7 linked regions of the Rattus norvegicus genome follow. The protein of the gene in region 3 interacts with the protein of the main gene of each other region in a pairwise test. Links are inferred from orthologs where the notes say so. Each region holds a gene or a part of one and is shown on either strand. Other genes may lie near its edges. The genes, in order: Txlna, C5h1orf94, Cchcr1, Zfyve19, Trim27, Card9 and Washc3.

What was found.
Region 1: the proteins of Cchcr1 (region 3) and Txlna interact in binary tests that used the Homo sapiens proteins (3 or more experiments, as listed by UniProt). The link is inferred for Rattus norvegicus from reciprocal best matches to the Homo sapiens genes CCHCR1 and TXLNA.
Region 2: the proteins of Cchcr1 (region 3) and C5h1orf94 interact in binary tests that used the Homo sapiens proteins (3 or more experiments, as listed by UniProt). The link is inferred for Rattus norvegicus from reciprocal best matches to the Homo sapiens genes CCHCR1 and C1orf94.
Region 4: the proteins of Cchcr1 (region 3) and Zfyve19 interact in binary tests that used the Homo sapiens proteins (3 or more experiments, as listed by UniProt). The link is inferred for Rattus norvegicus from reciprocal best matches to the Homo sapiens genes CCHCR1 and ZFYVE19.
Region 5: the proteins of Cchcr1 (region 3) and Trim27 interact in binary tests that used the Homo sapiens proteins (3 or more experiments, as listed by UniProt). The link is inferred for Rattus norvegicus from reciprocal best matches to the Homo sapiens genes CCHCR1 and TRIM27.
Region 6: the proteins of Cchcr1 (region 3) and Card9 interact in binary tests that used the Homo sapiens proteins (3 or more experiments, as listed by UniProt). The link is inferred for Rattus norvegicus from reciprocal best matches to the Homo sapiens genes CCHCR1 and CARD9.
Region 7: the proteins of Cchcr1 (region 3) and Washc3 interact in binary tests that used the Homo sapiens proteins (3 or more experiments, as listed by UniProt). The link is inferred for Rattus norvegicus from reciprocal best matches to the Homo sapiens genes CCHCR1 and WASHC3.

Annotation. Positions count from the first base shown.
Region 1 is NC_086023.1:147,266,474-147,270,443, reverse strand, and holds the start of Txlna (alpha-taxilin), read left to right. Parts: upstream 1-1,170; 5' UTR 1,171-1,283; intron 1,284-1,733; 5' UTR 1,734-1,739; coding exon 1,740-1,905; intron 1,906-2,602; coding exon 2,603-2,941; intron 2,942-3,970. UniProt on the Homo sapiens protein: May be involved in intracellular vesicle traffic and potentially in calcium-dependent exocytosis in neuroendocrine cells.
Region 2 is NC_086023.1:145,607,495-145,611,598, forward strand, and holds the start of C5h1orf94 (uncharacterized protein C1orf94 homolog), read right to left. Parts: upstream 2,801-4,104; 5' UTR 2,654-2,800; coding exon 2,340-2,653; intron 1-2,339.
Region 3 is NC_086038.1:3,216,266-3,219,765, reverse strand, and holds part of Cchcr1 (coiled-coil alpha-helical rod protein 1), read left to right. Parts: intron 1-386; coding exon 387-690; intron 691-3,064; coding exon 3,065-3,228; intron 3,229-3,339; coding exon 3,340-3,475; intron 3,476-3,500. UniProt on the Homo sapiens protein: May be a regulator of keratinocyte proliferation or differentiation.
Region 4 is NC_086021.1:126,652,822-126,655,564, forward strand, and holds part of Zfyve19 (abscission/NoCut checkpoint regulator), read left to right. Parts: intron 1-33; coding exon 34-142; intron 143-2,743. UniProt on the Homo sapiens protein: Key regulator of abscission step in cytokinesis: part of the cytokinesis checkpoint, a process required to delay abscission to prevent both premature resolution of intercellular chromosome bridges and accumulation of DNA damage.
Region 5 is NC_086035.1:48,243,349-48,247,403, reverse strand, and holds the start of Trim27 (zinc finger protein RFP), read left to right. Parts: upstream 1-1,346; coding exon 1,347-1,766; intron 1,767-2,298; exon of another isoform or gene 2,299-2,437; intron 2,438-2,503; exon of another isoform or gene 2,504-2,641; intron 2,642-2,849; coding exon 2,850-2,945; intron 2,946-4,055. Other genes in the region: uncharacterized protein LOC134482717, read right to left, coding at 379-415, 1,020-1,348. UniProt on the Homo sapiens protein: E3 ubiquitin-protein ligase that mediates ubiquitination of various substrates and thereby plays a role in diffent processes including proliferation, innate immunity, apoptosis, immune response or autophagy.
Region 6 is NC_086021.1:29,575,603-29,579,676, forward strand, and holds the start of Card9 (caspase recruitment domain-containing protein 9), read right to left. Parts: upstream 2,801-4,074; 5' UTR 2,583-2,800; intron 1,499-2,582; 5' UTR 1,487-1,498; coding exon 1,303-1,486; intron 919-1,302; coding exon 781-918; intron 1-780. UniProt on the Homo sapiens protein: Adapter protein that plays a key role in innate immune response against fungi by forming signaling complexes downstream of C-type lectin receptors.
Region 7 is NC_086025.1:24,507,125-24,511,343, forward strand, and holds the start of Washc3 (WASH complex subunit 3), read left to right. Parts: upstream 1-1,419; 5' UTR 1,420-1,566; coding exon 1,567-1,617; intron 1,618-2,174; coding exon 2,175-2,273; intron 2,274-4,219. UniProt on the Homo sapiens protein: Acts as a component of the WASH core complex that functions as a nucleation-promoting factor (NPF) at the surface of endosomes, where it recruits and activates the Arp2/3 complex to induce actin polymerization, playing a key role in the fission of tubules that serve as transport intermediates during endosome sorting.

The sequences.
Region 1 (3,970 bases), on a different chromosome or scaffold from region 3:
TGTAGGAGCACGTGGTACTTTGCAGAAAGTGGGGCAGGGCTGAGTGGGAGTTTACCAATCCGCCTAAAGCCAAACCTCCTTGCTACAATCCCCTCCTGAGGATCCAAGCTGGTGATGTCAGAAGGCGGGGCATACTTGGTCTCAAAGCCTGTGATGGCGGAGAATGGTTAAGATGGGTTTTAGTTGGATCTGAGGTAGAAGCCAGCATAGTCAAAGACTAACAGCCAGGGCTACACGGAGAAACCCTGACTGGGCTGGGTGGAATGGAATGGGGCACTGGGGAGAAGATTAAGAAAAGGATGGGTGGTGTCAGGCTTCCAGGTTTGAATCCGCAATAAGCACACAGTATTGATGGATGGAGCCATAGATTATTTACCCTTTACCTGGGCATGGTGGCCCGTGCCATTAGTCCCAGTCTTGGAGAGACAAAGACAGGCAGAACTCTTGAATTCAAGGCCAATTTGATACACCTAGAGAATTCGGGGCCTGCCAAAGCCACACATGAGACATTGTCTCTAACAAACAATAGTACATACTTTTTTCTTTTAATTAGCCTTTTCCGTACTGCCCTATATTTCCCAGATCTCTGAGTATAATGTTCTTTCTCTGAGTAATTATGAGGACCAAGCTATTACATACGAGGGAAGAACACATTGTTTGGATTATTATAAACCTTCTACTGGAATGGAGAGGGGAGGGATACTAGGCACATAACAAATTAGTGGTTTGGGCGTGAGATAAATATCTCCTAATTCACAGTTTACCCTTCTTTCTCTCTTCCACTCGCAAGTCCTCAGAGATCCTAAAATAGTCATACATGTTCATAAGGGAGTGTATGAAAAAAAATCCAGACTGCCAAAGTTTAAGGGCCAATCATAGTTTCTGTACTAGGAAGGAGGCTGACACGAATCTCTAGACCGAATGACATAATTTCGGACCCTCAGGGTATTTGGCTCCTAAGCTTTTCGGTTGCATCTCGGGAGTTGTGACCTGCCGCAAGGCATGAAGGGACTCGTAGTTTTTCCCACTCCCGCCTCCAAAGCCGCCTTGGCCTCTTTTCCCAGCAAGCTCCGCGCCAGCGTTTGCTGTTGATTGGCTGCCGCAGGAGAGGGTGGTCCAGCTGGCAGCAGTTACCCAGGTTTCCGGTGCTCGGCCAGAGTCGGGGACGCGGTCGGACGTCCGCGGTGAAGTATGTCTTTGGGCTGTACACGGGACGAGCTCTTCAGAGGGTCCATGACCCAGGACGCGTTAGCCGCGGAGGAACAACTAATTCTGTGGACGGGGTGGGGAGAGTTGTGTGCTGCCGTGCTGCGCATGCGTACTTCGGGTCTAGAGGGCGCGTGGGGTGTGGGTGTCTTCTGTGTACGCGCGCGCGCGCGCGGGAATCCCACGTGGGACCTGGTGGGGCGGGGGGCCGGTCGGGACTGGAGCATCCCGCCACGTCAGTCTGCGGCTCTGAGCCAATCCCGCGCTCCCGCTGCCGAGAGGGAGCCGTGTGGTGCTGAGAAGTGGCATTCAGGAGAAGGGAGGCCTCTTCCTTCCTTCACTCTGTGCTGGTGCAGCTTCTCGGAAACCTTGCCCGGGACCGTGAAGTCTCAGGCGAAGGCCGACCAGTTTGTTTGAAGCTTAGAGCTTCAGATTTGGAGATTTCTCATCTAGGTTGTGAAGAATTTTGAAGTCTAGAAAATAGCAGCGGTGTCCGTAAAGGATCTACCCCTTTTCTGGCCTTGCAGATCACAATGAAGAACCAAGACAAAAAGAATGGGCCTGCCAAACACTCCAACCCGAAGAACAGCCCTGGGCAACGGGAAGCAGGACCGGAGGGAGCTCATGGACGGCCCAGACAGACAGCTCCTGGTGCGGAAGCTGAAGGTTCCACAAGCCAGGCTCCTGGGAAGACCGAGGGTGTGTGCCAGCTCTGCTTTTCCAGTGGGCAGAGGGAGGAGTTTCTGGTACTTGCATCTATCTGAGGCCAGTATTTACCCAGGAAGGAGGAACTATAGAATGAAACAATGCCCATTCTGTGATCCTCATGTTTCCTAGGGAGGTGATGAAGCTTTCCACTCTTAGCCCTGGAACGGAACCTTGGGGGCATGCTCTGACTGGTTTAAACCAAATGACAATCAAATGAGGCGCCCCATAAGCAAAGTCATATTCCCACTTGCCAGTGCCCGGTGATTAATTGTCCTTCATAAGACAGAGCGTCTGCTACACGTCAGTCGTCCCTCTTGTAGGGGTGCTTTACACAGTTGTCTTTGATGGTCATAACAAGTATGTTTGGGTGTTAGAAATAATTGTTTCGTCTTATAAAAACGTTTTATACGACTTAGGGTTTAAAAAAATTAAATTGAGGCCAGGCATAGTGGCCCTCACCTTTGTTCTCAGAACCCAGAAGTCAGAGGCAGGTAGATCTGAGTTTGAGGTCATCCTCATCCTCATAGTGAGTTCCCAGACAGCCAAGGCCCTGTAGAGAGAGCCTGTCTCAACTGAATAAATAAATGGAACGTTTAACCCACACAAGTGGTGTTTGTCTGGGCTTAAAGAAGAAGAAAACCCAAGGGAGCGGTGTAACCACCTAACGTTCACTGTCTTCATCTTGTAGGCGCTCGAGCTAAAGCATCTCAGTCTGGGGCCCTCTGTGATGTCTCTGAGGAGCTGAGCCGACAGTTGGAAGACATTCTGAGTACATACTGTGTGGACAACAATCAGGGAGGCCCAGGTGAGGAGGGAGCTCAGGGGGAGCCCACTGAGCCTGAAGACACAGAGAAGTCCCGAACCTATGCAGCCAGGAATGGGGAGCCTGAACCGGGCATTCCAGTCGTCAATGGCGAGAAAGAGACCTCTAAGGGGGAGCCTGGCACAGAAGAGATCCGAGCAAGTGACGAGGTTGGAGACCGAGACCTTCGAAGGCCACAGGAAAAGAAGAAAGCCAAGGGTCTAGGTGAGGGGGAGCTCCTGCTGACGGGAGGGAGTGAACACTTGCCATCTCATGGGCTAGCCTGCTCTGTCTGGACACAAGAGAATCTGCTTTTCAAGACAGTACATCCCCCCAGTTTAGTCAAAGATGGGGTCATCCCATTGAGCTGTTCAGATCACTCACTTGTGCAAGGCCTCCTGGCCTTGGGAGCCAAGTGGAGGCAGGAATCCAACTAGCTTTCTCACTGGGAATATGGAAAACCGGAGGGAGGCCTAAGTGCTCGACAACACCACTTTCAACCTGCTGTTTGACTTTGGGCATGTTTATTCTCCACTCCTAGAGAGGGTCTTAGTTTCCCTGTTTGTACAGCAATAGAATTGGGCTACACCAAGGTTGAAATATCAACATGGACCAGGTAAGCCACAGACCTCTTCAGAATCAAGAAAGGGCCTTCTTGATCTGAAAACCTGACTCCTACCTGGTTAGTCCCCCAGTCGCATCTGACCAGCTGAATAATTGGTAACCAAAATAATAGAAAGTAAGCAGAGGCCTCCATTGGTTGGATTTGCCATCTCCGTGTTACCTTTTGGGCCTCCCAGGGCTGACAGCTCAGAACCTGGTCTGTGCTGAGTACAGTGGAACCCAAGGGAGACAGCTGTAAGGCTTCCCGGCTGAGGTAAAGCAAGGCAGTGGCAACCTGGCACCATGGCGTACACCTTTAACCTCAGTACCTGAGAAGCAGGAGCAAGTGCATCTCCTGAGTACCAGACCAGCCAGCTGCATAATGAAACCTTATCACAAACAAAGGACAGGAGTGATGGGACAATGTGAAAATACGAACTTAGAACCTAATGCAAACCAAATATGGTAGTGTATGCCTCTAATGGGGAACTAGGAGGAACAGAAGCAGGAAGATGCTGAGTTCAAAGCCAGCTTGGGCTACATAGCAATACCCTCTCTTTGTGTGTGTGTGTGTGTGTGTGTGTGTGTGCGCGTGTGTGCGCGTGCGCGTGTGTGCGTGTGTGCGCGTGTGTGCGCGTGCGTGCGCGTGCG
Region 2 (4,104 bases), on a different chromosome or scaffold from region 3:
GAGCAATTTAAACCAGAACAGCACAGTTTGATAATTATGGAAATTTACATCTACACACACTTGGACCTTCACTGCCTCATGCAAAGACTGCAGGGTTTACAGAAATTATAACTGCTGTCCTTAGAACGAGTTTATCAATCCTAATTACCAGCAGGACCATTGAATAGTCCTGATTTGTCACCTCCAGCGACCCCTACCGTCACTCCCCCATGGCAGTGAGGAAACCAAAGCTCAGATCAGCCTCGCAGTCACAGGTTCTACAGAGGCACACACACTGCCGAACCTGGTTATCCAACTCCGGCGCTCGCTGCCTCGCTCATTGTGTTCTGCTGGGCGGACAGCTATACAGTTAGGATGAGGCTTATTCATCTAAGTCAGCAGATTCCCAGGTCTCCTCTCAGCCTCAGAACTCCTTCAATCGCAACTGTACTCAGAACTCCAGTGAGTAAAGCGGACCAACACCTGAAGAGCTCAGGCTGAAGTGTGTGTGTGTGGTGTGTGTGTAGTGTGTGTATGTGTGTGTAGTGTGTGTGTAGTGTGTATGTGTGTGTAGTGTGTATGTGTGTGTAGTGTGTATGTGTGTGTAGTGTGTATGTGTGTGTAGTGTGTGTGGGTAGTGTGTGTGTGGTGTGTGTATGTGTGTAGAGTGTGTGTGTAGGAGCCCACTTGACTCCAGGATGGCTGTCTGAAGGCTCCTTGGATCATGGAGCTGTGAAGCCTCCCCTCCCCCAAACTCGACGAGCTACATATTAAGGCGGCCTTGTTTGTATAATGCATCTTTCATTTTCTTAGTTTCCCATCACATTGGACCCTCGTTATCGACTCTGAGGTGGACAAGGCAGGGCACGTCGTCCTTAATTTGCAGATGAGGAAATCAAGGCCAAATGGAGTGAAGTAATGAGCCAAAGGTAGGCCGGTTCAATTTCCGGCCAACTGCAGACTGGAAGTAGAGTCTGTCTCCACGAATTCAGTGTGACCTGGCAGGGAAGGGGCTATCTACTGGAAATTGCTGCTGACCTTTGATCCCGAAAGTGGACAATCAGCTACTTGGCCACTGAGAGAGCTGAGTGCAGCCCCAAGGTTCCCCGTGCCAAGGTGCTTGTCCTGGAGCAGATGGCAATGGGTGAGGCAAAGGAGCTCAGAGCCACTGAACGGACTCGCCACAGGATTCTGGATGGAGCAAGGCCGTTTGCATCGGAGCCTGGTCCTGCTGAGCACAGGGCAGGGGAGGTAGAAGCAGCCAGCATGCCTCCCGCCTTCATCTCCAGCAAGCAAAGGAGCTTGCATAGGGACTGCAGCACTACATTGCTTTTCACCTCAGCTATGCTTAGAGAGCCCTGAAACCAGAGGCGGCTGATGAATGCCGGGATGCACCCCGCCCCCTACACACACACTCCGGAGCATCTATGAACTGAGTTGGAGCATGTGTTGGGGGCAGACAACATTTAATTATCACTTAGGCTTTAATTAGCACTTAATTATTAACACTTAATCCATCTGTAAAATGGGGACACTAATACCTGTTTCATAGGGATGCCGGGAGGATTAATTAATGCGAGCAGCCCACTTTGGAGATGCAGAACCCTGAAAGAGTACTCTGCAGTGGCATTAATCACCACAGCTGATGCAGTCCTTTTCCTAATGAGATCCCTGTCTTCCTCTCTGCTCCTTCCTCTTCTTTCCAATAGCCAGCCCCAACGCTATCCCCTCAACTTTTCCCTAGCACTGAAACACTTAGCTCTGTGCTTCCCCGACAGGGGATTTCCCATCCGGGAAACCGGCTATTTACAGCCATCTTCCCACACTTTAATTTTCTATTATGTCCTCTGAATATGTCAATGCCTTCCCAGTAAATATTTTGATGTGCGCTCTTGCAGTAGCTCTGTGGATGCTGAATGGGACAGCTGCTCTCTGTATTAGGGGATTCCAGATGTGGTTTCCAACCACCAGAATCATCTGTGCCAATGCCTGGACTTTTCTTGGGATAGGGGAAAAGATCATCTAGTTGCTTCTGGGGACAGTCATGAGTCACCTAACCCTTAGATCTTCAGGGACCCCAGATCTACATCATAGCCACCTATGTCTTTAAAATAAGAAACTTCTCCTTAGTCACTGGAAAAGAAGCTGCCAGAAATGGCTTCTTTCCTTGCATCTGGGACTTCAGGACCTTGGCCAGCTCCTCCAACCGAAAGATTTTTCAGATTACAGAAACGGGGTTGAGGGTTGAGGCTTGGGGGAGAGATGTGTGTAGGACTTAACACTGGCCCAGAGCATTTCGACCTAAAGTCAGACTTCATTCCCCCCGCCTTTGATAATCAACCAAATAGGGGATTACTCACTCGTCTTGGAAGCTGACAGCGGCTGTCACCGGGGCAGAGAGCTTCTCCAGAGAGGTCCTGGGCTGCAGGGACTCAGGCAAGCCCTGAACTCTCTTCCAGATGTCATGGCAAATCTTGTCTAGGCTATCCTGGGGTGTGTCCTGGTGGATCCAGACATATCTGGGGAATGGCCCCAGGGCGGAGGGACGCTTGGCCACCAGGGCTGAGGATGGAGGGAGCCCATTTCCACTGGCCATCCTCTTTCTCTCTTTTCGGAAGCCCCTTTGTCCGCCCAGGGCTGGGAGACAAAGGGACTGTCCTCCACCAGCCCTCATTCACCAGAAAGGGAGCTGAAGACTGGACCTGGGAAGTAGTCAGTTCTGGCTGGCTGTTGCTCCAGCCAAGGGATGGGTTTCAGAGGCCTTCGGTTTGGGTGAGGATGAGGAGTAGAGGGCAACTTTCTTTTGGGGAGGGGGGGCTTATGTTGACTTCTTTTTATTTGCTCTTTCCTGGCTTTTGCCCCCCTCCCCCTCTCCCGTAGAAGAAAATATTTAAAAGTCAACAAAAACCAGTAACTTAGTAACCGTGGAATGCCCCGGAACTCAGGAACCAAGCGCCTGGGCGGGCAGAATGACATCTGGGAACGACTAGAGGGGAGGACTGGCTCTCCCCACAGGACCCGGCACTCCCCCGTTACGACACCCCTGTGAGACTTTTCAGGGTCTGGGACTCAGCCCATTCTCTCCTGCCAAGTCACCAGAAGGGCAGGGTAAAGGCCGAGCACTGTACTAGACTGGGTGGGTGCCGGCCATGGGACTGTCTCCTCCCACCTTCCCAAAGGATCCCGCGTACACAGAGGGCCCCCCACCCGCCTACTGCAGGTCCTGGCTTTAGCTCTCCCGGTCGCCCCCTTCTGCTTCCCCTTCTCTCTCTGCTGCAGCTGCTCTGCCTCCCTAAAAAAGAAATGTCCAATGCGGTATTGTGCCGGTAGTCGGCCTGGCCCAGGTCCTCAGCGGACACTTGTCGCGTCCCCCGCGCAGAGCTGCGACCCGCACCGCAGAGGATCCCAACCCTTAAAAGGCCGCCGATTGGGCAGGGCAGGCCCGGGCGGGGTCAGCGGATTTGCGTGTCAGTAGCTCCCACACCCCTGCCGTCGAGAGCTGGGATTCTTTCAGTGGGTTCAAGCGCAACGGCTGGGTGCGCGGGGGTGGGGCACGGGCCGGGCGTTCGTCCCTGAGACTCGCAGGTGGAATGGGGGCGGGGTGGGACTGGAAAGACCCCAGGGAGCTTCCTCTTAGAAGTAAGTCAAAGTGAAACACTGTTCCCATCCCACCACTACATACAAACTTCAGAGGTTGCCTAGAGGTGGGGGACCTGTCCCCTTTCCCCACTGGCTTTAATCCTAACTGCCATCCCACAGGAGCACCGAATGCCAAGAGCTAACTTTAAACCTGATCCTGTTCACCCTCATTAGTTTGTACTACTTTTTATTCGGCGGACACGATGGAAGGAAGCTGAATCTCTAAGTTGCAAATGGTTGTGTCCTGAGTTCAAGAAGCAAGGCTAGAATTCAAAGCTCGGACTCGACATGATCTAATGCCCTTGGCTCCCAAGCTAACCCCAACACTGAGACAGGGAGGCAGGCGGAGGTGGGAGAAAAAGTCGCACCCTTTGATATCGGTGCGGACTGCGATCGTCGCCCCTAAGCCCCTCCACATAGAAGCTTCACCTTTGAAAAAGCGTGAACTTGACGAGCATTCCCTGGTCCCCGAAAACAGTGGTTACT
Region 3 (3,500 bases):
TACATGAGACCCTGTCTCAAACAAATTGAAAAACAAAAATGTAAAAAAAAAATCACTTGGCCCTGCGTTTCCGCCCCACCCCTTCCTTTGCCTTTATCTAGAATTCAAATATCTTCACACTCAAAACCTGTACCCCCCTTCCCCCATGTGCACGTTTGACGTTTAACGCATCTATCTGCTTGTGTGTAGATCTCTGGAGAGATGGTGTTCTTTGCCGATCTCACTAGCCCTTAGGTCGTCCGAGTGCAAATAGTGATGACCTCATGCGCTTAGTAGGGACTTGATGGGTGATGGTGGTGTGGTAGATGCATCGATCCTCCTGCCTCAGCTTCAGCCCCTTGCTTCCACCTTCCCAGCAGCTCACCCGTGCCCACCTGTCTTTGAAGGTCTCTGGAGCTGGGGGTCTCCGGTGCCCTGAGCCAGCAGGCTGAGCTGATCTCTCGGCAGCTCCAAGAGTTGAGGCTGCTGGAGGAGGAGGTCCGGACCCTTCGGGAGACCTCCCTGCAGCAGAAGATGAGGTTAGAGTCTCAGGCCGTGGAGCTGGATGCTCTCGCAGTGGCGGAGAAGGCCGGGCAAGCCGAGGCCGAGGGCCTGCGCACCGCCTTGGCCGGAGCGGAAATGGTTCGGAAGAACCTGGAAGAGGCGAAGCAGAAGGAGCTGGAGGAGATTCAGAGTCTGCACCAAGAGCAGGTGAACACGCAGCGGGGAGTGGCTTAAAAGCGTTTCAGGGCCCACTGTCCAGTAAATCGCAAGGAGCCTCGGGAATAGCAGACCCGTGGGGCTGGGGGAGAACCTGGGTTTCCCTCAGGCTGCGTCTTTGAGTTACCTGTAGGAAGGTTCTCTGAATCAGTCAGCTCCAGACAGACATTGTGAGCGAGATGGGCTGGCTGGTGGTATGTCAAAAAAAATGACAAATGGGGGCTGGAGAGATGGCTCAGTGGTTAAGAGCACCGACTGCTCTTCCAGACGTCCTGAGTTCAATTCCCAGTAACCACATGGTGGCTCACAACTATCTGTAATGGGATCCGATGCCCTCTTCTGGTGTGTCTGAAGACAGCTACAGTGTGCTTATATATAATCAATAAATAAATCTTTTTTTAAAAAAAAGACAAGGGGTTGGGGATTTGGCTCAGTGGTAGAGCGCTTGCCTAGGAGGCGCAAGACCCTGGGTTCGGTCCCCAGCTCCGAAAAAAAGAAAAGGGGGAAAAAAAAAAAAAGACAAAAAGCCACTGACAGGTTCTAAGTAACTGAGGCTGGAACTCAGCAGTAGAGTGTCCGCCTGCTCTGCACGAGGCTACCGGTTCAGCCTCCGAGTCACCAGAAAAGAAGGCTTTTGTTTTTTTAATTTTTGTTGTTGTCGAGACAGGGTCTCGCTATGTAGCTGTGGCCAGCCTTGACTCTTGCTTCTGCCTCCCAAGTGCTGCACTGCCACACCGAGCTTCAGAGAGAAACAGGGAAATAACACAATCAGATTTATATTTTATGTCCAGAAAGACCTGGGCTTCAAGAAAGATTTGGCACTGGTGATGTTGACAGGGCTGGCTGGGCCGGCCCTGCAGGGGGAAGCAGGAGCCCCATCTGCCCCTGGCCTGGTTTGGGGTCTAGTGAGGAAGACCCTCCCTTCCTAGAGCACCCCCATCATTACACTGAAGTAGGGTCCGACCATTGGCTGCTAGAGCTTAGAAAGCTGCCAGCAGGCCAAGAGCAGATGAGAGGTCTTCCTGAGGGCGGGACAGCACCTGCACAAGGGTGCAGGGAGAGCCACAGGAGAGCTTGGGGAAGTGTGTTGTACGTGCTGTAGGCTTTGTGGGTGTGGCAAGCCTGCTTCTTTGTGGGTCGAGGGTTGTTAAGGTAGCACCTTGATCTGTAGGCCTGGCTGGCTGTGAACTTGAGACAGTACTCCCCACTCAGCCTCCCAAGTACTGGAAGGTCTCAGGGTTCCTATTGCTCTGATAAAGAGCTGACGAAAAGCATCCTCAGGAAGGAAGGGAAAAGCTTCTGGCTCACCTCACCCTGCTCACAGCCGGCTGAGGGAAGCTGAGGCCACGGAGGGACACTGCTCCCTGGCTTGTTCCTCTTTGGCTTGGTCAGCAGGCTTTCCTGCATAACTCAGGACCACCTATCTAGGGGAGGCACCACCTCCCCGTGGGCGGGGTCCTTACCAATCAATCACCATCAAGAATGTCCCATTGGCTTGCTTATAGGCTGATCTGATGGGTGCACTACCTCAACTGAGTTTCCCCTTCTCCAATAACTGCAGCCCATGTCAGGTTGGCCAAAGAGGAGCTAGCACTCGGGGTTGAAGACATTTTGCTCCCGCCATGCACTGAGGGGTGTGTGTACATTCAGGTGTGGGTCTGTAGGTGAGGGTGTGAGTGTGACTGGCACGTGTGTGAGGCCTCCAGACAAGGTCTTTTATCATGGAGGCCAGACCTGGAGCTTCAGGGATCCACCCATGTCTCCTCCTATCCCACAGAGTGGGGCGATTACAGGTGTGTGCTGGCCTGCCTGGCTTTGCAAAAGTTTTGGGGCTCCTAACTCAGGTCTTCATACTTGTGAGGCAAACACTTACTGACGAGTCATCTCCATAGTCGGCAAGTCTCAGGCCTGAGGTGGGGCCATTTACTCTAGCTGTTAGCAATGAACACAGAGAGACCGGGAAGTGAACCGGCACCAGTTGACGATTGTTTGAAACATAACTGTGGAGAACCAGAGGCCAAGATCTCCCCCATTTGCTTACAGTAGCATATCAGTCAGATGGCTCTCTGGGAGACCAGGCCCCATAGTGTGGTAGGTGGCCCTCCATCTCCTAAAGATTTATTTTCGCTTGTGAGTGTGTGTTGTGTCGGTGAGTGTATACCACATGTATGAGGGCCTCAGAGGTCAGAAGAGGACATTGGGTCCTCTGAACTGCCTGTCGTGGGTGCTGGGAACTGAACTTGGGTCTGAGCTGCTGAGCCCCTGTCCAGCCCCCCAGGATGGCCTTTTCTGAATGCATTCCTCCCTCCCTCCGCCTCCTCCTCTTCCTCCTCCTCCTCCTCTTCCTCCTCCTCCTCCTCCACAGCTGTCCTCCCTGACACAGGCTCACCAGAAGGCTCTCGACAGTCTGACCAGCAAGGCTGAGGACTTGGAGAAGTCTCTGAACAGCCTGGAAATGAAACAGGCAGGGGAAGCCAAGCAGCTGACTATGGCCCAGAAGGAGGCAGAACTGCTTAGGAATCAGCTGAGGTCAGTGGACTGTGCAGGGGTGTGAACAAGGGCCCCAGCAGGTGACGTGGTGCTGGGTATCATCTCCAGGCTGTTCCACTGAGGACTGTCCCATTTCTGCTTCAACCTTAGTAAGACCCAAGAAGAGCTGGAGGCTCAGGTGACCTTGGTGGAGAATCTGAGGAAGTATGTAGGGGAACAAGTCCCTCCTGAGGTTCCTAGCCAGGCACGGGAGCTGGAACAGAAGGAGCTGCTAGACACCTTGAAGGTGGGAGGAAAGACACCAGGGGATC
Region 4 (2,743 bases), on a different chromosome or scaffold from region 3:
CCTTTCCCCACTGAGCTTCCCTCCTCTGCACAGGTACACCAGGCACCAGATACCAGGACCCAGGCCCAGCAGACACAGGATCTGCTCACACAGTTGACAGCTGAGGTGGCCATTGATGAAAACTGGCAACCAAGAGTCTCAGGTAACTTGTCCCCTTGGCGTCCCAAGTCATGTCCTGCCTCTTCTGCCCACCCTTTTGGGAGGTGAATGTAAGTTAGAGAACGGTCAACACTAAAGAGCTTCTGTTTATTGAGCGCTTGCTCCAGAAGGAGCCAGCGTGGGCCTCTTGTACTGGCTCAGGAATCACGTGGGGAATTTCTCTTCCACCACCTACATGAGTTACTTCCCCAACCCTTTCTCATCTGTAAACTCAAGCTATGTGTGCTACAAGCCTATGTCCTGGGAGAAGCTGTGAAGAATAAATGAAACAGTACAGTAAGTGCTTGGGACTGTGCCTGGCTCATACTAGTACTCAGCAGAGTACTCTGCAGGGCCACAGTTCAGCTGTTCACTACCCCCATGACGTGCTATGCAGCGCTCTGACATAGAAGACCTTGGACAGTGGTACTGAGGTCTGCGGAGCAGTAGCTCCAACTAGGGGTGATTTTTAGCTTTAGGCACCTTTAGATTTGGTTAAAGACATTTTCTTTTTTTTTTTTTTTTTTTTTTTTTTTTTTCGGAGCTGGGGACCGAACCCGGGGCCTTGCGCTTCCTAGGCAAGCGCTCTACCACTGAGCTAAATCCCCAGCCCCATTTTCATTATCACAGTTCACAGGCTACCACTCCTGGCTTCTGGTAGGTGGAAGGTGGGGATGCTACTGAGTACCCTATCATGCAGTGGCCAGCTCCCCACCCCTGAAAAGACATATGCCCTTAAGTGTATCAGAAGAACTAAGATTGATAAATACTGCAGAGCGTCTCTGTGGATGACCTCACTCATCTGACGTGTGCATTACCATCAAGGGTCTCCTGCCCATTATGTAAGATTGCTATTTCCGTTGACTTATCCCTGTTGGTCCCAGAAAATGCTAATTCCAGCCCTGAAAGACAGGGTCTAGCTAAACCTTAGCCCCTCACAGCTGATCCTCAAGTCATAGCGTAGCCACTCAGTATGTGGAGGTGTACTTTTGCTTCTGTCTTCTCTACTCCTGTTCTTCAGCCCTTTAAACTGGCAACACGAGATGACAGAAAAACGATGACATTACAGGAGGCACCTTCCTGTTGTTTAGTGGTGTCAGGCTCCTTGGGGACAAGATTGCTCTTCGCTTTCGGGATACCTAATTTTGTCTTCTTGCTTTTTTCTCTGCACATTACTACATGATAAATGGCAACCAACAACAACCAAAAACCCACCAACAGCCTCTCAGGGCTCCAGCATCTATGTACTCTTTGCAAAGGCTCCAGAGTTCCAAATGTCCCATAATCGCAGAAACATTCTGCAGCTGACAAGATCATACCCCTGCCAGAGCACAAGGCAAATCATAGTCAGCTGCTGTGGAAAATTCGAAGCAGCCCCATACTCCCCATCTGTGATTAAAACAAAAATTATAATATTTTTGTGTTCTTCAAAGAAACCAAAATTCCAAAATTGTCACTCCCAAGGTTGATGCCTTTGAAAGATATAACTAAACTTACCAGTTTCCTCAGGCATGATGGTTTACTCTGCAGTCATAGAATGTGAGGTAAAGGCCATCAAGGGGAGGGGGAGGGGCACCAACCCAACCACAAAACCTTTGATCTACAGTTTGTCATGCCTGCCAAATCATCATCAGAGCGTTTGGAGAGACTTCACCCAGCAACTGATGGGAGCAGATGCAGACACTGTAGACAAAGGGGGAGCTCAGAGAGCCCTGCAAAGGAAGGGGAGGAAGGATCTGAGGAACTAGAGAAGTTACGGGCACCCCAAGAGAATAAGACTCACAGAAAGGACGATTGGGACTCATGTGGGCCTGCAGAATCAGGGATCCTGTAGGGGTCTGACTTAGGTCCTATGCATGTATGCTCTGGCTGAATAGGTTGGTGTTCTGTGGGATTCCTAACAGTGGGATCAGGGGCTATCTCTGGCTCTTTTGCCTGCTCATGAGACTACTTCTTGCCTCCTTCCATGATGTGGATGGCTAATGTCCCTAGAAGGGCTTCTCTTTTCTTTTTTTTTTTTTTTAATTTATTTATTTATTATGTATACATCATACAGCTTTCTGCCTGCGTGTATTCCTGCAGGCCAGAAGAGGGCACCAGACCTGATTATAAGTGGTTGTGAGCCACCATGTGGTTGCTGGGAATTGAACTCAGGACCTCTGGAAGAGCAGACAGCGCTCTTAACCTCTGAGCCATCTCTCCAGCCCGGCTTCTCTTTTCTAAGGGAGGTTGAAGGGACTGGCATGGGGCTGAAAGAATGGGAAGTTGAGGCAGAGAGGCTTGGCAGGAGGGGGGAAGAGGGAAACTGAAGTCAGGATGTAATATGAGAGAAGAATTTTAAAAAAGAAAGTGTTCCAGTCAGTATAGACTCAACAGCAAACCCCTGTCTGTAAAATAAATGAATAGATGTGGAGGTGGCACACACCTTTAATTCCGGCACGTGGGACCCACACTTGGGACCAGCACTTGGGAAGCAGAGGCGGGCAGATCTCAGTTCAAGGCCAACCTGGTTGGCAAAGTGAGTTACAAGAAGGCCAGGACTACACAGAGAAACCCTGCCTTGAAAAAAACAAAAATAAATGGGTAAATAAAAGTCTAGTACTGA
Region 5 (4,055 bases), on a different chromosome or scaffold from region 3:
ACACTTCATTTAAACTAATGGATAAAAATCTTTATGGCTCAAGCTGTGTTTTAAAAAGTTTAACTCACGGATGGGGAAAATTCCTGAAAGCAACAGTGTATGGGGGCTCAAGGAAGACACTGAAACAGACTGCTGGGAGTAAGAACTTTATTAGCGCCATAGGCAGATAGGCGGTGGACAATCAGAATTTCTGGCCGCGCCACAGGCGCCAGGGGGAGGTGGGGGCTGGGGAGTGTTCGAGAATGAAGCCCACGTGGCAGAATCAGGGTCGTTTCTTCTAGGGTCTCATAGGAACCCGCGGCCAGGCTCCTTCCTCAGCAGGTGGTAGGGAAGAAGTGTGTCATCAAGTAGCTCTTTGATATGTCTGGTCTGGCTACTTCACTTGAGGAAGTGAGAAACTGGGCACCAGAGGAGCCTGTTAAGAAGTTAGGGACTCACAAGCGGGCTCTCGGTGAGGCAGCTCCCTAGTAGCCGGAAGGCTAGAGAGAAGGGGAAGGACTTCAGTAGGTATCAGGGTCTGGTGAGCACTCTGGTCTGGATTCTATCAATCCCCCATTTCACGCGAGAAGAAAATGAGGCTCGGAACGATAAACAAACTTACTTTAGGGTGGAAGTAGAAGTGGGCTTCTCCATTTCTGCCACTGAGAAAAGTTGCTGATAATAAAACCTTTTTCTGGCGATTATTATCGCCTGGAGTTGGGTGTGTTTCAGAGTGCTTCACACACTGGGAGGGGCTTAGCTGGTCTCTCAGCCCAGTTTTCCGGCACTTATGCAAAGCCACCTTGCATTTAAAGGAGCCAAGGCCTAGGCACTAAGAAGACACCCGGCAAAGGACTACGGATCCACCAAAGCTTAGAGTATCCCGACCCCACTGCCAGGGACACCCTGCTCCCACTGCAAAGGGCAACCACCACCGACTCCCGGGCTGGGTACCGGGGCTCCAGGACTGCGCCGAGGAAACCCGCCTTCCCGCCCCGGAGGAGAGCGGCGCGGGAAGCCAGGCCCCGCCCCCGGCCCACCTCTTCCGCTCGGCCCTTAGGAGTCTGCGCGGCCCTGGGATCCCTTCCGACGCGGCCACGTTGCCCGGTGAGCCATCCTGCAGCGCCGGGTTCCCGACACCCCTCTGCTCGGCTCTCAGCCGGGCCCTGGGGCCCAGGCCTTCCCGCGCTGTCCGTGAGGTGCAGCTGTGCGGGGACGGGTCTGGCCGCCCCAGAGCTCCGCACGCGTCTAGGATCCCCGCGCCGGAGGCCCCACCCCGCTCCGGATCTGAGAAGCCGAGAGAGAGCGCCGGGCTCTGCCAGAGCTCGGCTCCGGGCTCATGCCCTGCGGCCCAGCCGGCTCGCGCCATGGCCTCAGGGAGCGTGGCCGAGTCCCTGCAGCAGGAGACCACCTGCCCCGTGTGTCTTCAATACTTTGTGGAACCCATGATGCTCGACTGCGGCCACAACATCTGTTGCGCGTGCCTGGCCCGCTGCTGGGGTGCCGCGGAGACTAACGTGTCGTGCCCGCAGTGCCGGGAGACCTTCCCGCAGCGCCACATGCGGCCCAACCGGCACCTGGCCAACGTGACCCAGCTGGTGAAGCAACTGCGCACCGAGCGGCCGTCGGGGCCGGACGGCGAGATGGGCGTGTGCGAGAAGCACCGCGAGCCTCTGAAGCTGTACTGCGAGCAGGACCAGATGCCCATCTGCGTGGTGTGCGACCGCTCGCGCGAGCACCGTGGCCACAGCGTGCTGCCGCTGGAGGAGGCTGTGGAAGGCTTCAAGGTAGGGCCGGGCCGGCGGACAAAGAGGAGAGCCGGGGGCTTCCTGGTTTGCCGCCGAGAAAATGGCGAGCCGGACGTGGGGCCCACCGCCGTCATTTCCTCCCTGTCGGCTGCGGAGCCTCCGCGCTCAGACTCGGAAGGAGAACCTGTAGCTGGCGAGGCCAGAGGCGTCCCCACCCCCACCCCTTCTCCGAGCGCCCCCTGTTAACTGCCTCAACGCGTGCCGCGGCTGGGACGGCGCGAGGAGACCCTCCCTTGACAAAGGAGATGCACATGGAGCCATGTCCACTTCCATAGGCCTTGAACACCTCGAACTTGCTCTGGCCCAGGATATCAAACCAGACAGCCCCTGTTGGCTGGCCGAATTCACATCGACCGATGCCTATCACTTAATCTAAGCCCCCAGCGCTTCCCTGTAACCTGTTTTAGAACCTAATGGAAATGAACAGAGCTCTTTACTGCTTGAGTAAATCATTTAGCCACTCTCAGACTCGGGAGATAACTTAATGAAGAGGAAGTGAACTCACAGGACCTGAAGAGGCCTTTGTTGAATAAACACTGGCACAGCTACACAGTAATTCGAAAATGTTACATATAAAGTAACTCTCAAGTGATAATGAGTCTGTTTTGAGGACTGCAGGGATATGTACCAACAGTTAGATTTGTTTAAATGTGAGTTCATCCAAATGTCAGTCACGTTTACAAAGCTGTATCATTTCACTCACTGGAAATAAAGTTGTAATTTAGTAATGCTTACCAGTTCTGTGCATGAGGAAAATAAATCATTTTTTTCTGTATTCGTCTGAGGAATAGCTTACCTTTTGAGCCTCTTTACCCAGATGTCTCATAACCTGTGCAGAATGCTTCTAGGAACTGGTAGGTGGCTTGAGTTTAACAAATTTCTAAAACAGCTGTGCTGGACCCTGTGCTTTAGGCTCTTCCCAGGAATGGCACTGTGGTCTGAGGACAGAGTCCAGCCCGGCCTTGGCATCTGTAGTTTGGGTTCCTGTGTCATAAGCAGAGTAGCTATTTTGATGCTGAGATCTGCAAAATTCTGAATTGGCTGACTGTTTACTTTCTTCAGGAGCAAATCCAGAATCGGCTGGACCACCTAAGAAGAGTGAAAGACTTGAAGAAGAGACGGAGGGCACAGGGGGAGCAGGCACGAGCTGAGCTCCTGGTAAGGGTCCAGGTCTCCAGCCTGCAGAGAGGCATTGCATCAGGATAGCCTTGGCAAGGGTGTAATGAAAACTTCTAAGCAGAGCATTTCCCCTTGGTGTCTGTCATTCCTATCATTTAGCTCCATCCTGTCTCTGAGTGAGTGCGATCTTGACACCTCTTGCTTGAAAACAGGATGAAGAAACTTCTCAGTGATCTTGTGTAGACTAAACTTAAACATACAATGTATCATATCAGCTTTGGGAGGATTTTCCAGAGAGAAATACTTGTGCCAGTGTGTCAGTCACACTGCTTTGGATATACTCAGTAAATTGATCTTTAGCCTTAATTTTGTCTAAGGTTATATTGTATACTTTATACCTTTGAAAGACTTATCCAGGTTAAAAGAGGTATAAGGGGCCCTTGGAACAGTTGAATTCAAGTCAGATTTTAGCAAACTTTCTGAAAGGGGCCAGTAATAAGTATTTTTAGCTTTGTTAATTTACACAAGCTAAATCACAACACCTCAGTCATTGCATCTCAAAAACAGCCATGTCTAATACATAAATGAGTGGGTTTGGCTGGATTCAAGTAAAATCTTTCTTGACTGCTCTAGAGCCATTTTGCTGACCATTTGTTTATTCAGAAATAGTTTCACTATGCAATCCAGGATGGTCTTGAACTCTCCATATTCCTGCCTTAGTCTCCCCAAGTGCTGGAATTATAGTATGCACTGCCACACTTGGTTTATAATCTTAGAACTCTAGGTTTTTTAGGATGTCTTAGGTAGCCCCAGTTGATCTTAAGTTCATTATATAGTTAAGAGTGATCCTGAAGTTCCAGTCTTGCCTTGTCTGCCTTCCAAGTGCTAGGAATGCAGGCATGGAGGAATTAGAAATGTAGGAAAGATAGACAAACCAATAGAAACATTGTATGGAGAGGAACCCATAAGCACCCCCTAAAAAATCAGGGCATGGATTACTTACTGAGACCAAGTAAACACATCCAGGAAACTTGTGCTTGCTCGATCATACCAGGTCATGTCCACAGAGTGCACACCTAACCCTGCCATTTCACTGTGATTGTTTCATGACTCCGCCTGCCAGGCAAGATGTTCATGGGCTCCAGTCAT
Region 6 (4,074 bases), on a different chromosome or scaffold from region 3:
GACCATGCAGTGTCAGGTGGAGCTGTGGCTGTCACCTGCAGACCCTGTGCTCGTCCTTGTCTACAAGTGTGTGCTTGAAGACCAGCAGCTTGAGGGACAGAGGGAGCACTCCTGGCCTCCCAGAGGGTAGGATGGGTCCCTCAAGACTGAGTGTGCTCACTAGGCCCAGTCTGCCTTGCTGTCCCTCACAGGCGAACTGAGATTCTGACTCAAACACTCACATGCCAGGACTGCAGTCGGCCTTCTGTCTCCCCCCAGCCCCTGTTTTACGTGTTTATGTTGTATGTATGTAGTCCAGGCTGGCCTCTCACTCTGAGATCTGCTTGTCGCTGCCTCTGGAGTTAAAGGTTAAAGGTGTGTGTCATCATGCCTGCCCTCTGTTACTCTTACAGTGACCTTTGTGAGATGGATGAGAATTGATAGGGCTGTGGCTATTCCACCACGAGAGGACACCTCTGTCCCCTCTGGAAACTGTACGACTCTGCCCTTGGCTGACAACTGGGCCCTGCAGAAATGGCACTGCAGAGCGGTCACCACTTCAGTGGAATTTCTAGGCTGTGAGTAGGAGAAGCAGAGAAGGGCTCCCCTTCTGGAGACCAGCAGGGCCTCAGCAATCCAGGAAGGCCCTGCTCCCGAGAACCGGAGAGGCACCAGGGACCACTACCCTGATCTACATCAGAAGGCTCGTGTCAGACTTAGTCACTCCAGTGCAATCACAGGAGCCGGGGCCAAGTAGCACCGAGTCCACCCACAGCACCAACCCACACCTGTGCCTCTCACCGATGATCATGGAGAAGACACGCGCTGGCTCCTTGCCAGTGACTTTCCTGTATAACTGAGGGTAGTAGAGTTCCAGACTCTCAAGAAAGGCCACGTAGCCCTTGTGGCCTGTCCGCTGCAGGATGTCCAGGAGCACACCTTCAGGCAGAAGAGACAGAGTCAGGGCCCAGGGCTGGGTAGGTAGAGGCCCTTGGGGCTGGCTAGGATGGTTACTCTGGGTAGATAACCTAAGCTCTAGACACCCCCTTCCCTTCTGGGCCATTGCATAAGGCACCCTGCAGGTCTCAGTCTAGGTGGGACAGGGTGCTGTCTTTACTCTGGTGGCTCTGAGGATCTGAACAATGGTGGGGACTCCCTTCCCCCACTGGGCAGCAGCAGGTAGACATGACAAGAGGGGAGGAGGACCTCACTCATATCCTACATGGAGATGGAGCTGGGTGGGGCTGAGGTAGCAGACTCTGGCTGGCTGTCTTGTGGGGATGATGAGGGACTGGGCCCTGCTGGTATGGGAGCAGCCCTCACCCACTTTCCGCTTGCGGATGACCAGGTTGGGGTCACTGAGCACCTGCTCCTCATCATCGGGGTTCAGGACTTTGCACTGGCGCAGATAGGGTGTGATTCGTGAGGGGTCAATGACAGAGATTAGCTTCACCCGGAAGCTCTCCAGGGCACTCCAGCACTCGTCGTCATTTTCATAGTCTGACATGTCCTCTGTAGGCTGTGGTACAGTTGGGGAGAGCAGCTGAGGAAGTGCCCACCTTCTGTTCCCTGCTGGGCCTGGCGCAGTCAGCCTGACAGGACCCAGGCCTGGGAGTGCCAGGGCAGGGCTTTGGGCAGGGTCAGAAGGGACTCAGTCTAGGGAAATATACGGCTCAGTTTCATCTCCTCAGCTCCATGGAGAGTTTCTGAGGGGAAGCAGAGGTCCATAGGCAAGCCCCTCCTCAGGCCACCTGTTAAACCCACCTTCCCCAAGCTGCTGTCACCCCAAGCTTTCGTTGAGTCATGTGGATATGCAGGGAAGGGATGGGTTGGGGGTCTAAGAGAATAGCCCTTGTACAACAGGCCTGCTCTAGCTTCTGCCCTCTACCCTGGAGTGCCCTGGCACACCCTCAAGGTGGGAGCTTTTGCCCCTACTGGCCATCCTACATAGTACCTCCCTGGGTGGCGTGGACCCTGGCTGGCCAGTCTCCAGATTGGGACTAAGAGGGTCAGGTTGGTGGGAGGCTTTCTCACTCTGCCAGGGGGCCAGGCCTATGTGTGACTTCCTCATTCCCTGACAGGCTCCGAGTCCTTCAGGCCTTCCGTTGTAGCCAGTGATGCAACAGCCTGTGGCATGGTGCTATTCTGGGAGGGCAAGTAAGGGTTGGCCGTGGGAGCATGCCTGCCTCCCTGCTAGGCTGGGGTACACTGGACGTCTGCTGCGGCTTCCCTCCAGTTTTTCAGGTGCTAGGCAAGTCCTGTGCTTTTCTGCTGCCGGATGAGGCCTGGCCTCTGGCCACATGATGGGGATCAGTCAGGCCAGTTGAACATAGGGGCTTACTCGTGTGGAGCTGCATGTGGACAAGTGAAGCCTTTGTGAGTGGCTTCAGTGGACAGACATTTCTCTAAACCTTGGGCCCACTGCCTGCCATTCCAGCCCCACAGCCACATGGCCCAGCACTGGAGGACTATACTGCCATGGCCAGGGTTAATCAAATGAAGGGTGAGGGTGGAGGAGGCCACCTGCCTGTAGGTACTGCTGCTCCAGGGTCCCCAGCAGACTCACCACAGGCTTCCACCCACCTCCAGGAAGGTGAACTTACCTCAGGGTCCTGTGGGAGCCACCTGCCAGCTGGATGCTGCCTGGGCTATGGGCACTCCAGGAGCGAGCCTCTGGGAGTGTGGAGATGCTCCCTAACTGGAGAAGGGTGGAGCCATGAGGGAGGCTGTGCACTTCCTGATGTGTTCTGGTTGCTGCCACAAGCCAGCCAGTCCTCCCTGGGAGGGGGGGGGGGGCAGTCCCTGCTGGTCTACCTTCTGATTGGTCCATCCAGGAACAGGAGAGAGGGAAGTAGAAGTACTCTGGGAGCAGAGGAGCCCTCCCCGCCTGCTCATCTGAACTCGGACCTGGAGCCACAGAATCTGAAAATCTGGCGTTGTGGATGGGCGGTCTAAGGCCCTCCTGGATCCAGGCTTCTGAAAGCCGCTCTTCCCTCATGGCCGCCCATATCCTCACCTGCCGTCTGAGGACGGTGGTGCAGGGTAGGTGCAGCAGGACAATCCACGGGCTGTAGGCAGCTAGAGTCCTCCGTGAACTGCGTGCCCCAGCCTGAGATGGGCGTGGGGACCTGCTAGCCCTGACCAGCCAGTGTAGCTGTTAGACAGGTGCTGCTGCCTAGTCTTCGAGAGGAGTTGAAGCAAAAGCTGAGTGGGAAGGCTGGGAGACCTACAAAGAGCAGAGCCCAACCAGCCCCGTCTTTCGTGGCTTACTGCCCTTCTGTTGCTCCTGTGGGGACAGTGACCTTGGACCATACTTCTAAAAGCAGCAGTCAGGAGTCCTCTTTGGCCTGGGTGGGGTTGGGAGTGGCATTGCTAGGGACTGTGCCTTGCTGGGTTTCCAGGATGGCAAAGAGGGGTCCACGGCTTTGCAGTTACTCCAGGAAGGAGATCACAAGGCCTCCATAGTGGAGTTTGTTCCCCAAACAGTAAAAATACAGATCATGGTGTTTTCTTAAAAGTGTTAATAAAATGGGAAGCTCTTGCCCATAAATCTGAGGTAGAAATCAATCGGATAGCTGAAAAAACCCCAGTACTCCAGAGTGGAGAAGAGGTTAGAGGGAGCCATGGAAAACACTGGTCCCTGGACACATAACAGAGGGCAATGAGCTGGGCTGCAGGACAACCACCTGCTGACAGTCGGTACAAGCAGCAGGATTAGGCTGCTCACGCCATTTTACTATGAAATTTCCCACAGAGGATGGATGAACACATGCAAGAACTAACTCCTGGAGAGCCAAGGGCTTAGGACTGGTGTCACGATAATAGTGTCTAAGAAAAAAGGAGACAGGGCCGGAGAGATGGCTCAGTGGTTAAGAGTGCTGACTGCTCTTCCAGAGGCCCCGAGTTCAATTCCCAGCAACTACCTGGTGGCTCACAACTGTCTGTAAAGGGACCCGATTCCCTCTTCTGGTGTGTCTGAAGAGAGCAACAGTGTACTCATACACATAAAACAAATAATTTTTTTTTTTTGTTTTTTTTTTTTTTCCCGGAGCTGGGGACCGAAGCCAGGGCCTTGCGCTTCCTAGGCAAGCGCTC
Region 7 (4,219 bases), on a different chromosome or scaffold from region 3:
CTAGATACTGCAGGCTGACAAAAAGCCTCGTCCTAGGAACGGATTCCCTCTTTTAGGGCTATCGGTCAGTGAGGTTCCATAGAACCTGACAGTAGGCGCTCACTGCTGCAGACAGCACAACGAAGAATAAGTCCAGGGAGTGGTATTTAAAATGCAAGTATCGGGGCTGGGGATTTAGCTCAGTGGTAGAGCGCTTACCTAGGAAGCGCAAGGCCCTGGGTTCGTTCCCCAGATCCGAAAAAAAAAAAAAAGAACCAAAAATAAAATAAAATAAAATAAAATGCAAGTATCCACGTTTACCCAGAAGAGATCCTGATTTGTCTTGTCTGAGGTTAATCTCTAGAATCGGCATTTTAAGAGGCACTCCCAAAAAGAAGCTCGTGAATCATTTAGAAAAACATGACTCTTATTCTGACATAAAAGGCCCTTCATCAGCTTTTTCTGTCTACTTCTGCTTTGTTTGTCATTATTCTCCACCACTGGGCATTTTTGCTTACACCACCAAACCGCTTTCCCTTTGCCTTAAACACCATATGTCCTCATGCTTCTGTGCCTTTGTTTGTACAAAGGTTCATTCCAGATCGTCACCTTAACTCCTCTTTGTGTTAAGTAGACACTAAGGTCAGCTTCCTCTTCTTGGACGTCTTAGAAGCTCAGAGCCACAGCACTTTGCGTGTGGTGTGCATGTACTCATGGGCCCACAAGTGTTTGTACACGCTTACTTACAAAGGTGCAACTTTCACAGGATTTTGTTTGCGTGGCCATCTAAATTTTGCACGTCCTCCCTGTATTACTCTTTGAATAGTATAGCAGAGATGATGTGGGCATCTCTTCGGTCCTTGTTTGGTACAATAAAAAGGTTTACTTTCGCTTAGGTGACCTGTCCTAAGTCACTTTGCTGGTAAAATGTGTTCCAAACTCTGAACCAAAGTCTTTAAACTGCAGGTGTAAAGATCTTTTACATGATGTAAGTGGCCGTCGTCACTGTCACTGATGTATGTCTCAGCTGTTGCTTGAAATTATGTTATGTCTAAAAAAAAAGAAAAGCGTTAAAAACAGATCTCCAGGCATGAGGTTCTCCAGGGCTGAAGACTCATTCTGATCGCAGAGTATCTGGCACTTAGTAGGACCACATAAAAAGAGAAGTGCTCTTCAGTGAATTATGGATCTTTTTTGTAACAATTCGAAACAAGTAAACACCACCACCCCCCGTCTCTCTGTGTGTCTCTGTGCATGTTTCTTTGTCTCTATTTCGCTGTCTGTCTCTTTCCCTCCCTTTCTACAGATCTTTTCAGATTTTACAGCTAAACAGCAAATGTGAACCCTGCTTATCAGCAGCATTTCCCAGCCCAACTTTACAATCCGAATCATGAACTACCAATCCCAGAATGCAGAGCGAGAGCGAGGGGGCGGGGCGGCCTCTCCGAAGCCACCGATTGATTGGTGAACACACGCGCTCTCTTCCGGAAAGGCCCCGAAGGCAGGAACTTGGGAAAGGAGTCTGGTCTCTCTACCAGGCTGGGAGGAGCTTGTGCCTGAGCCCCGGGGTCCCCATCCGCTGAGGAGATGGATGAGGATGGGCTTCCTCTCATGGGGTCAGGCATAGACCTGACCAAGGTTTGTAAAAGATATACTTGAGCTTCCGACGAACAGGGAAGGAGGCTTGGCTAAGGGGCCCCGGTTCCCAGGGAGACGCCACCTCTCCAGGCCCAATCCGGGCCCCTATTTTCCTAGCCTGGGGAAGGGGGAGCCCTGCAATCCACTTTGAAAGGGGTCTCTCCTGGGCTAAGAAAAGAGGTTGGGTGCCACGCAGCCTTTGCTCCCCACATCACGTGCCTCTCCGCCTAAGGTTGACAGTCTGGAGATAGAACCACCTCTAACACTTCACCTCTTATTCGACCCTCAAGAAGCTGCTCGTGTGTGTGTGTGTGTGTGTGTGTGTGTGTGTGTGTGTGTGTGTGTGTGTGTGTGTTGTCACATTCTCAAACTTCATGCAGCCCCTGTCACTTTGACACACACCAGATTCAGGAACACAAATCAGTGACTCTTCTCAGCCCTTCGTGAAATTCATGTCCCAGGACAAAGACCATCCCCTCTATGAAATCCAGATATCCAAAGTGTTGCACAGGGTATGTTTCTCCTGTAAGAATCGTGTTTGTTTTTACATGACACAGGTGCCAGCTATTCAACAGAAAAGAACCGTGGCTTTTCTAAACCAGTTTGTGGTGCACACTGTGCAGTTTCTCAACCGGTTTTCCGCAGTTTGTGAAGAGGTAGGTCCTGGGCTACTAGTTCCTGGAGCGGCCGAGAAGTCGCCTTCCACCCTTCATGTTGACAAATGAAGTCAAACAAGAGTTACACCCTTCATGTGTTGTTCACTTTGCCACGAAACTCAAACGTCTTAAGACCTTAGCACCTCTGACTCTGTCCCCATCAGCCCTGTGCCCTACCTCAGCCGAATTAATATTCTAGAAGCTTCTGTGAGACAGCTCAGCTATGTTTAATTATGAGAACAAAAGGAAATCCAGAATTTTACAGTTGAATTTTTTAAAGTGTTTTTTTTTCTCAGCTTTCTACTCAAGAGATTACATTTTAAATATATGCTTGAGTTTATATTGAATTGCTTTGCATCCTTTGAGCCAAAAACAATTCACAGGGGTAGCCTAGAATACATGTTTCAAAAAAATACTTTGTTGCAAATGACTGGATGACTTATAAAGTAAGAATTAGACGCCAGATCCAGGAACCTCTCCTGATCTTGCAAAAAGTTTTGTTTGTTTGTTTTAAGGAGGATGAAAATAGGGAATGTATATTGAAACTGAATTTTAAAAAAGGAAATAAAAAAGTAGAAACTTATAGACACTTCACAGCTGGATCGATTTAATATTCTATTTTCCTATATTGTCCTATGTGAGGCTTATCTTCGACAAAACAGAGTTTATGTTAGATGTGTGGCTGTTAATCAGAATTGCCTGGAGACCGGAAACCTCTCGTTTGGGTCTAATTTGAGCTGTTTATATGATGGGCTGTGATTAAGGCCTTGAGCACGATAGGCACACGCACTCTGCCACCGAGCGACACCCCCAGCCCCCAGCCGTAGTTTTTATTTCTTTATCAGAATTCCTTTAGCTTTTCCCCTGAGAGAAATGAAAGTAAGATGTAATTACTGATGCAGTGAGGAGCTCGGTTCTGTGTGCTGTATAGTTGAGCAGCCCCAGAGACTGGGCGCTCCTTTCTTTTTGGTCTATTAAAAAAAATTGGGGCTGGGGATTTAGCTCAGTGGTAGAGCGCTTACCTAGGAAGCGCAAGGCCCTGGGTTCGGTCCCCAGCTCCGAAAAGAACCAAAAAAAAAAAAAAAAAATTAAGATTTACTTATTTTACTTTATACGTGTGAGTGTTTTTATCACACATATGTCGGATGCCTATGGAGGTCAGAGGAAGGCTTAAGACTTCTTAGAACTGTAGTTATGGACAGTTATGAGCCACTAGTGCTCTGGACTGCTAAACATCTGTTCAGTCCATTTTCCTCTCACACCGTTGCTTCTCTAGGATAAGGAACCTGCGGAGTGAAGGGATTTTCACCTTCCAGTTCCCATCTGACCCTTTGTGCTCTAGGTTAGAGTGTATGCAGGCTGTAGCTTCTAGCAGAAGAAACCAGATATTCATTGCCTATCATTGCGCAGTTGTCCCTATTGAGTTAAAAAAAAGCTAGCAGAAGGCAGTTTGCTACAATGTGCTCTGCGCGAGGATAACCCCTCGTCTTCGTAGTCCCCCTCAGTTTCCGCTGTCTGGGAGTGGGTGCTGCTTATCGGCAGCCAGGATCAAGGATGGCGAGTGTCACCTCACAGAGCTTTCCCCACCTTCTTCCACACTGTCAGTGTTCCCTTCCCCACAGTTGGTCCGTATCCCCTAATGTTTCCCTGAACCCCAGAGAGAAATTTGTTGGATAAAGAGCTCAGCTCATACGGAGTTAGCCTACTGCCCTCTGCTCTTTTTCATATGCGAAGTCTTTATGACGTAACGTACGCCGTTTTGACTCCTGTGCCCACCACGGAATATATAAATTTTGTGTGTGCTTTGCTGTGTATGTACACCCTCATTCTTAGTATACTTCGCTCTTAGCTGCAGTCACTGTAGCATACAGTGAGTCCAGGGAACGTGTTCTCCTGGGATTCTGTGCCTTTGAGCAACACCTTCCCGGCCCCCTCACCTCTCCCAT